Oryctolagus cuniculus: one gene and its partners. The protein of the gene in region 1 purifies or fractionates together with the protein of each later gene. This does not show direct contact. Links are inferred from orthologs where the notes say so. Each region holds a gene or a part of one and is shown on either strand. Other genes may lie near its edges.

Evidence for each region. The genes of interacting proteins can lie anywhere in the genome.
Region 2: the proteins of POLR1D (region 1) and POLR1E purify together in Homo sapiens (affinity purification with mass spectrometry; 3 studies listed by BioGRID and IntAct, with this or other methods). This does not show direct contact. The link is inferred for Oryctolagus cuniculus from reciprocal best matches to the Homo sapiens genes POLR1D and POLR1E.
Region 3: the proteins of POLR1D (region 1) and POLR3K purify together in Homo sapiens (affinity purification with mass spectrometry; 3 studies listed by BioGRID and IntAct, with this or other methods). This does not show direct contact. The link is inferred for Oryctolagus cuniculus from reciprocal best matches to the Homo sapiens genes POLR1D and POLR3K.

Annotation. Positions count from the first base shown.
Region 1 is NC_091440.1:86,895,378-86,899,600, reverse strand, and holds the start of POLR1D (protein POLR1D), read left to right. Parts: upstream 1-1,304; 5' UTR 1,305-1,457; coding exon 1,458-1,483; intron 1,484-4,223.
Region 2 is NC_091432.1:200,304,145-200,306,954, reverse strand, and holds the end of POLR1E (DNA-directed RNA polymerase I subunit RPA49), read right to left. Parts: intron 2,589-2,810; coding exon 2,457-2,588; intron 886-2,456; coding exon 726-885; 3' UTR 609-725; downstream 1-608. UniProt on the Homo sapiens protein: Component of RNA polymerase I (Pol I), a DNA-dependent RNA polymerase which synthesizes ribosomal RNA precursors using the four ribonucleoside triphosphates as substrates.
Region 3 is NC_091450.1:34,577,201-34,580,017, reverse strand, and holds the end of POLR3K (DNA-directed RNA polymerase III subunit RPC10), read right to left. Parts: intron 737-2,817; coding exon 609-736; downstream 1-608. UniProt on the Homo sapiens protein: Core component of RNA polymerase III (Pol III) which synthesizes small non-coding RNAs using the four ribonucleoside triphosphates as substrates. Can mediate Pol I proofreading of the nascent RNA transcript.

The sequences.
Region 1 (4,223 bases):
GCCCGCCGAGGGAGCCGGGAGTCGGCCAGGCTCCGCTCCTCCGGGAATCGCCGCCGCCGCAGTCGCGGGTTTCCCGGCAAGAAGCAAACTCTGGCCAAGACTTCACTTCTCAACCGCCCCTGCTGCCTTCCCGGGGGCGAGCGCCGGGCTGAGCGGCCCAACCCGACACGCTGCTGGGCCAATCGGCGGCGCCACAGGGCGGGGAGGGGGCGGATCAGAGGCGGATCCACCTATCAGAGAACGCAGGGGGCGGACCAGGAGGGGCCGTCATTCCTAGGTTAGAGTGAACCTACTCCGTCCCTCGCCCCTCGCCCTCCCCCACCCGCCTGGGGCTGTCCCCGCCGCTCGCCTGATTCCTCTGTGGAAGGCGCTCGGCAAGTGTGTGAGCGAGCGCCGGGCAGCCGCGGGGACAGCGGGACAGCTGAGCAGGGGACGCACGGAGCGGGGTGGGGGGAGGTCGAGGGGAACAGGTGGCGCGGGAGAGCAGGCGTGTAGGTGTGCTGGGCGAGAGGACAGCCGGGGTAGAGGGCAGCGACCGGGGCTGGCCGGCGTTAGAGAGGTTGCGGGAGCCGGGGGTGAGCAGCGGGGAGCAGCACTGAACACTCCCAGAGAGGAAGGGGCCGGAGAGGGAACCCCGCCGAGGAAAGGCTGCCGAAGCGGGGTAGGGGACGCCTGGGAACAAAGATGAGAGGGAGGTTCCCCGGGGGTGGGGTGCAGAAGGGGTAAAGAAAAGGGTGGAAGGGAGGTGCATGGCCGGGGGAAGGAAAGGACGGGGTGGGTGAGTGTGCTCCCAAACTCCCACTTCTCCCCTAAGGAAAACGGTAAACGCTTGTCCTGTGTCCCGGGGGAGATGCTTAGCTGCAAGAACCCCACTGAGTACTGTCTTGAAGCACCACGTTCTGTTAACGAGACTCAGCCCCTCCTATTTAAGGACGGTATAGCCCAAGCCTGCGGTCCCACAAGAGGTTGGATTCCCGGGAGGCCACAGGGTTCCAGTCGAGTCTAGCAGGCCGGACTTGGGTCCCAAGAAGGGAGGTGATGTGGGGGCGGCAGGTAAGGCCCTGCCCCCTTCGCCACCAGTTGGGGAGACGGTACCAAAGGTGGAGCTCGGGCGCACGCACTGTGACCGGGGCCTCCGGGTGCGACGCCAGCGGGCCCTCCGCCGCCCTCCTCCCGGCTCGCCCCGCACGCCGCCAGGCTGGGGGCGCGCCAGGTGAGCGGCTCGGGCCCGGCGCCACCGCCCTCCTCGCGCCGGGGGCGGGGCCGGGGGCGGAGCCTCCACGTCCCGCCCAGCGCCCGGACCCTGCCGCGCCGCTGCGGCTCCTCCTCCCTCCTTCCGTCGCCGCCTTCTTCCGTCCGTCGTTCCTTCCTTCCTGCCTCAGCCGCTCAGCTCGCGGCATGGGGCAGAGCCTCCGATCGGCCAGCACCACCTGAGGATCCTGGAACCGGCACCCGCGATGGAGGACGACCAAGAGCTGGAGAGGTAACGGCCGAGAAGGCGGGCGGGGCGGGCGGAGTAGGCCGCGCCCAGGCAGGGGAGCGGGCGGTACCGGGCACGCGGCCCGGCCCGGGCCTAACCTCCGCGGCCCTGCAGAGCAGCAGGGGCCCGACCCGGGACGCTGAGAGAGGGAACAGGGCCCGACGGGGAGGAGAAGGGAGGAGTCGTGGATGTGTTTGAATAGAGGCGCTCCGAGGGACAGTAGTTCTCGAGGAGGGCGGACCAGTTGGCAGAGCAGAGTTGGGTCCCGAAACTGCCCAACCCCGTTAGAACAGCGGCGTATTCAGTCCGGCTTAAGCCCCCCCGTCACTACCGCTCTCCCTCCTCCTCCGTGCAGACTGTTAGCCGTGTAGCCCTGCCTCAAAGCGCTGAGTTCTGTTTCTCCCTCCCGCTGTACTGTTTCAGCTCTTACCGTTTCCTAGCTTCCTTACCTCTTGCAAGTGGAAGCCATAGTTGGGCCTGCACATTGATAATCTGTAGTCTCTGTTTATATGCTGGAGCAATCTTGTGTTTTTCTACACCTTCAACTCCCTTTTCCTCTTCCAGCAGGGCTCACCCTATGCTATATCCCTTTCTTGTGACTCTTCCAAAAGAAATGTCTTTGCAGACACTTAAGTGTATGTTTTTCTAAGAAGATGCTCCGTGTGGCCCACGTGGATAGTTAATGGAGCAGGGAGAAACTGGAGTCAGCAAATTAAATATTCATTGGTAGAAGTGGTGGAGGCAGAAAAGAGAGAGGCTGACAGTTCTGTGTGTAATTGCTGTGGATTAGAGTAATGATGTGTGGCAATTGTGATATAGTAAATGAAAAAAAAAGCTAGTTACAATATTCAGTATGATCTCACTTTTATAAAAAATATGTGTGTAGAAAAATGTCTGGATTGAAGACCTCAATGGCCGAAGGCGAGAGGAAGACAGCCCTGGAAATGGTCCAGGCAGCTGGAACAGATAGACACTGTGTGACATTTGTTTTGCACGAGGAGGACCATACCCTAGGAAATTCTCTGCGTTACATGATTATGAAGAACCCGGAAGTGGAATTTTGTGGTTACACTACGACCCATCCTTCAGAGAGCAAAATTAATTTGCGCATTCAGACTCGAGGTGCTCTTCCAGCTGTTGAGCCATTTCAGAGAGGGCTGAATGAGCTCATGAATGTCTGCCAACATGTGCTTGACAAGTTTGAGGCCAGCATAAAGCACTATAAGGATCAAAAAGCAAGCAGAAGTGAATCCACATTCTAGTCCCTTGTGCAGGATACAAGGAGGACTAATCTCTGGGATACTCTTCTTCATGATTGTGCAGAACCCAGAATTAGAAGTTTGTGATTACAACAACCTGCTCTATCTTTCCAAAAAAAAAAAAAAAAAATGGTTCTAGCTGTTGACCCATTCATCACAGCTGTTGGAATCCCCGCAAGAACCTGTGTATTCTCCTAATAAATTCCCTCTTTTATTGAAACTATTTTTGAGTGGTTTCTGTTCCTTGCAACATCCTCAAGGATGACTTTATTTGCTTGCAGTAGAGCCAACATTTAAAGTGATAAAACAGAGCATCAGGCACCCAAAATAGTGGTTTCATCATGGGAATCAAAAGGAGTATACATTCCTGACTAGGATTGGGGTGGTGAGGCAAAGAGGAGATGGAATAGACCATTACGCAGATAGACTGGTGGGTTTCAAAAAGAAAGAAGGTCAGGATGTGGACTTGGCTTCTTAGATATTTTACTGATGAGAAAGTTGTATCCTTTTCTCTTAGGGGATTGGGTAAGGTTAGGGAATAATTTGAAAGAATTTTGAGAATTCTGGTTTCACATGAGGGTCTCAGGAGTTATCCAGCTCCATCTTTGTACCATCTATAGAATAATTGTTTACTGCCTGAGGAGAAACCTGGAATGAGCAAATTACATTTTTAGTCTAAGTAGGTATCCAACTGTAGCCTAGGGTCATATAGAAGAAACACTATTTGAGAGAAAGGACACAGAGGGAAAATACCATGTGGAGAAAATGACTTGGAAAACTTGAAATATTAGTGAAATCACATCCAAGAGCCATTGTATCTGTCTACATCTTCAACATCTTTCATACCAGTCATACCAGAACTTCCTTCTTCAATTATCCTAAATACCTGTCAACCCTAGAGCCTGAGCACTCCCATATCCCAATGCACTGTGCTTTGGGGCCTTAGTTGATCCTATTTATTCGTGTGATCCTGGGACCTAGCACAACACTGGACAGCAGGTGGACACTTAGTAAATATGAGATGAATCCCTGTAGGTAGTTATGGCATGTTAGCTTTTCAGTAACTCTTAGTTGAGCTGCCCTAGAGCCTCTTTAAAGATATTTATTTATAGAGCTTCTGGTTTGTACCTTGGGGATAGGTATAATAGTGAGACACAATAAGTGTTGCATAAGAGAAACAATATTTTTAAAAAGTTGTAATTCTGGGGAAGAAAATACAATATCAAGATAGAAAGCATGAGAGAGAATTTTGCTTTAGGTATGGAAGTCAGGGAAGCTCTTCCCAAGATTACAGGAAGAGAAGGCTCTCATGATGGAAATTAACATTGTGAGGGAATAGCATGTACAGAGGCCCTGAAGCAGAAAACTAGTGGTCTGGGAAACTGAAGGTATTGAAGGAAGATTTGATTGTAGGCAAGTAGGCAAGGATGAGGCCTATTCTCTGGACTGATGGGAGAAAGCTGGTGTGATGGGAATGACCTCTT
Region 2 (2,810 bases), on another chromosome or scaffold:
ACCAGCAGATGGAAGATCTCTCTCCATCCCCAGCCTGCCCCATAACTCTGCCTTTCAAATAAATAAAATTCAAAAAGAAAAAAAAGATCAGAAGCAGGAGAGCCAGGACTTGAACCAGCACCCCAATATGAGACATGTGCATCCCAAGCAGAGCTTAACCTGCTGTGCTTCCAGGCCCACCCCTTAAGCCACTTTCTTCATAAAACACTTAGAATTCTTTGTTTTCTGTACTGAAGCCTGACTCATCCCTGCAAGTGCGGCTTTCAGAGCTGGCCGCCATGGTGGCCTCCTCTGATCTGGCCCCAGTGTCCTACAGCAGGGTCTAAGTGAGACAATTCCAACAACCCCACCCCGCTGGCGACCCAGTTAGCTCCTGATAAAGGCACAAGCCTCCTCTTCCAGCCCTGCTGAGCTAGGTCCTCCCATCACACACCCCGCCGGTTCTTCCCAGCCCAAGCCCGGTGCTGCCGGTTAGGTGTGGCTTCAGAGTTCAGCCTGGTGAGAGCTCCCAGCTGTGGCTGGTCCAGCCCCACCGTCCCCTGTGTCCACACGAGGCAACCTGCGAGACAGCGCTGTTTACAATCACCAACACCGACGGAGGGGGGACATCCGAGCCATCGTCACTTTATGTTTCCAGGGGAGGCTGGCTTCTGGCTTCTGACCTGTGCCAGGCTTTCTTCTGACAAACACGGAGAAGCACAGAGGCAGCAGCCACGCTGCGCAGTCTACGTCATCCTCCTGCGCTTCGCCTGGAGGTCTGAGGCCTGGGCCGGTGGCAGCGGGACGCTCAGAGTGCCCACCCTGCGATCCTCTTCCCTGCCGGCTGCCACGCACACCTTCTTCTTGGAGATCTTCAGTCTCATGGCCTTGGCGATCTCCATCATCCTAAGACACAGAACAAGTCGGGAGAGAACCTTCAGGATCACTTTGAGAGCCACTGGCCGGAGAGCAGCCTTGAGGACAGTGTCCACAGGTGGAGGTGCACGAGCCCCCTCCCACCCCTCAAAGCCAGCAGACAGACAATTTCATTTCACTGTGCTGTGAGAAAGTATCCAGAGGCTGGAGCCAGCGCCATGGCATAGCAGGTAGAGCTGCCGCCAGTGACGATGGCATCCTGTGTGAGTGCCAGTTTGAGTCCCGGCTGTTCTATTTCTGATCCAGCTCCTGCTAATGGCCTGGGAAGCAGTGGGAGATGAATAAGTGCTAGGGCCCCTGCACCCACGTGGCAGACCCGGAAGAAGCTCCTGGCCTCGGCCTGGCCCAGCACTGGCCACTGTGGCCATCTGGGGAGTGAACCAGCAGATGGAAGATCTCTGTCTGTCTCTAACTCTTTGAAATAAATAATAAATCTTGTTTTTAAAAAAAAAGGAGGAGCGGGCCAGCGCTGAGGCGTAGAGGGTTAAGTTGCCGCCTGCAGCACCGGCATCCCATATGGGCACGGGTTGGAATCCTGGTTGCTCCATTTCCGATCCAGCTCCCTGCTAATGGGTCTGGGAAAGCAGGGAAGATGGCCCAAGTCCTTGGGCCCCTGCACCCACGTAGGAGACCTGGAAGAAGCTCCTGGCTCCTGGCTTCAGACTGGCCCAGCTCCAGCCATTGCGGCCATCTGGGGAGTTAACCAGCAGATAGAAGATTCTCTTTGCCTCTCCCTCTCTCTAACTCCATGTGGAAGAAACTATTGCCAGGTGAAGGAAAACCAGGCTCTCTAGATCCAGATCCTCCCTTTCTTTACCAACAGCAACCTGGAGAGCAAGCGGGACGGGGCTGGGGCGGCTGCTGGAATGCACCAGGCGCCAGGCCCTGCTCCCGCTGGTCTTTCAGCCTCGCTGCCGTGGGCATGCTGCCCAGGGCTGGCCCTCAGAACCCCGTCATCAACTGCTGGAGGAGGGGAGGCAGGGCTGTTACAGAAGCCAACTGACCGCACCTGTGAGGACCCAGGAAGCCTGCCCGCCCCCCACATGATCGGAGAGGCCGTGTCACCCAGCTCCCCCGTCTGCTCCGAGAAGCTCAGCCGTGACACCCCTGCACAGGCTCTGCCTTGCCTTGGACCCCTCCCCGCGGCCCCCTCCATCTGAAGGGGAAGCTCTCGCTAAGCTACAGCTGGGCTGTCAGAACCACATGGACGGAACGCCGCCTCAGAGAACGGGAGCCTGCTCGGACCTGCAGGGACGGAACGCCCTGGAAGGCTCCGGTTTGAGGCTCAACGACTCCCTGTGGGCTGCAAGGCCCTCAGAAAGTCAGGCCCTCCTCTGACCCTCACGCGGCTCAGTTGATTTTAGGGAAACTGGTGAGATGATCGGACAGATTCTAACCCTGCGCCTCGTGGAGAAGGCGCTTGGCAGTGCCTGAGGGCTCACTCGCCTGCGGCGTTGCCAGGCCTCCCCCCAGGCCTCCCCCGCTCCGACACAGGCGGCCGCCCCGCCCCGCCCCGCGGCTCACTGCTCTCCATCGCTCACCTTCTCTCACTGAGCTTCAGGTCCCTCTGCAGTACGGTCAGGTCAACCTGGAAGTCGTTTATGTGCAAAGCAAGTATGATCACATACGCCGTGATCTTGGCCTTCATAGAATTCGAAATCAAGTTCCGTAAACTGCAACATCAATGGCAAGAAAGGAGAAATAAAATTAAACTCTAGGACAATTTCTCAGAGCCGGGGCCCCTACGTGCTGACGCGCTTCCTAACTCCAGGAAAGGAAAGGAATCCGGCCGGCACCGCCTGTGCCTCCCCCGGCGAGGGGTGCGGGCAGGGCAGAGGGAGTGAGCCCACACTTGCCGCTGGCAGCGCCCCAGCCTGGCCCCGCCACTCAGCAGG
Region 3 (2,817 bases), on another chromosome or scaffold:
ACAGAGTGAGGGTCTCCCCCGAGCAGAGAGAACAGAGTGAGGGTCTCCCCGAGCAGAGCAGCAAGGGTCTCCTCCTGGAGCAGAGAGAAGACAGCGAGGGTCTCCTCCCCTCAGCAGAGAGAACAGAGCGAGGGTCTCATCACCCCCCAGCAGAGAGAACAGAGCGAGGGTCTCCCCCCAGCAGAGAGAAGACAGCGAGGGTCTCCTCCCCCCCAGCAGCGCACAGGAGGGTCTCCTCCCCCCCAGCAGAGCGCACAGTGAGGGTCTCCCCCCAGCAGAGCACACAGCGAGGGTCCCCCCCCCAGCAGAGCGCACAGCGAGGGTCTCCCCCCAGCAGAGAGAAGACAGCGAGGGTCTCCTCCCCTGAGCAGTGCACAGCGAGGGTCTCCTCCCCCGAGCAGAGCACACAGTGAGGGTCTCCTCTTCGCCCACGAGGACTCTCTGGCCCCCGATGACTTCATCCACCGACGGACGATGTTCCTGGCACCCTGGCCCTGCCCTCAGGAGGGCTCGCTCTCTGCCACACCAGCGAAGACCCTAGGACACACAGCTCACATTCCTTGCCAGGAGTCCACCCTGGGGACCGGCACAGCTGGGCCAGCGCAGCCCTAGTCCCTCCAGCGGTGCCCGCACTGGGGGCTGCAGCACTTGTAGAAGGTGGTCATGGGCTCGTCTGCAGAGCGCGTCTGAAGCTGCATGAAGTAAGCACGAGGATGTTCGCACTTGGGACACGGCTCTGCAAAGGAGAAAAACCAACCAGGGAACCACATTACATAAAATGACGCTGGTGGGGCCAGCATGGCGGCACAGTGGGGGGCCACCGCCTGCGACACTGGCATCCTATGTGGGCGCTGGTTAGAGTCCCGGATGCTCCACTCCGGATCCAGCTCCCTGCTAGTGCAGGGCAAGAGCAGCAGAGGACGGCCCAAGTACCTGGGCACTGCCACCTGTGCAGGAGACCCAGGCACTGGCCTCAGCCTGGCCAGCCTTGGCCATCACAGACATCTGGGGAATTAACCAGCAGTTGGAGGGTCTCCTTCTCTCCTACCCTGTCATCTTGCCTTCCAAATAAATCTTATCTTTAAAAAAGAGTTATTTGTTTATTTGAAAGAGTTAGAGAGAAAAGGAGAGACAGACGTCCACCTGTTGGTTCATCCCCAAATGGCTACAACAGACAGGGCTGGGCCAGGCCAAAGCCAGGAGCTTCATCTGGGTCTCCCAAGTGGGAGCAGGGGCCCAAGGACCTGTGCCATCACCCGCAGCTTTTCTCAGGTCATTTGCAGGGAGCTGGAAGCGAAGTGAAGCAACTGAACTTGAACCGGCGCCCATCTGGGAAGCTGGTGCTGCAGGGGCAGCTTAACCTGCTGGGCCACAGCGCTGACCCCAAACAGATAAATCTTCACAAAAACGATGCTGGTGAGGGACACTTCGTAAGATCACTAAGGACACTACCAACAGAGGCTCCACTCCCACCAAGCTCGAACACTGAAGGGACAGGTGAACCTGTGCCCTGTGAAACACTCCTCCCGTCCTGGGACCCTGCGTCTCTCCCATCTGGCTGGAGACTGATTAGAGAAGTAACTTGGAAGGGGGCTATCTCCACGGTTGGTGCTGCTGTAACAAACTGCTGGAGACTGAGTAATGGGGAGAGGCTCAAACAGCTTTGAAGTAAGTACTGAAAAGCCTGTGTAAGAGAATTTCAAAGAGCTCATAGAAAATGAAACTAACAGTTTCCAGTCCATGCATAGTTTCTAAAAGATTTACGGATCTATTTGAAAGGCAGAGTGACCTCTGATGAAGGAAGAGAAAGAAGCCAAGTCTGATTAATATCAGACGCCCTGGTTAATATCAGACGCCTGTCTCCCTTCTCGTGCAATCCACAGGAATAATTTACCAACTACTGTTTAAATGCACGTTTTTCAGTAGCTCTAGAAACTTTTTTTTTTTTTTTTTTTGACAGGCAGAGTGGACAGTGAGAGAGAGAGACAGAGAGAAAGGTCTTCCTTTTGCCACTGGTTCACCCTCCCATGGCCGCCGCGGCCAGCGGTGCACCGCGCCTATCTGAAGGCAGGAGCCAGGTGCTTCTCCTGGTCTCCCATGGGGTGCAGGGCCCAAGCACCTGGGCCATCCTCCACTGCACTCCCGGGCCACAGCAGAGAGCTGGCCTGGAAGAAGGGCAACCGGGACAGAATCCGGCGCCCCAACCGGGACTAGAACCTGGTGTGCCGGTGCCGCTAGGTGGAGGATTAGCCTAGTGAGCCGCGGCACTGGCCAAGTGTAAATAATTTTTAAGAGGTGAAATCACTTGCTGGTTGTTTGTTTTTTGATACAACCAGAAAATAGTAGCATTATAATAATACAGACAGACAGACAGACAACACAGTCCATCATGGGAGGCTTCGGCTGTCGTGGCCGTCAGCTTGACACTCCACAGGTGGGGGTGGCTTTTATATCCTACAACACATACTAAACGGCAAAGGTGCATTTCATCTGTCCTGACAGAAAACCACCCGGCGTTGCTGTCAGACCACGTGTGCTCTGTCAATCTCTGGCTGTGGGGGTCCACTTTCCCTAGTGGTTTAGTTCACGTTTTTGAGTCTGTCACATACAGGATGTTACCCTGTAAAGGGCGGGATTTATGTCACATCAACGCTTGAAGATGCTGGTGCTTGATGGGAAGAGCTGCCTCCAAATTTGAAGCTGGAAATGACTGGAGTGACTTTTGAAAACAGAACGAAAATTCAGGCTTCCTAGATTCTGCCTTGCATGTTAAGAACTGTGTAAAAATGAAAATGTCTGCGTTGATTCTCAACACCA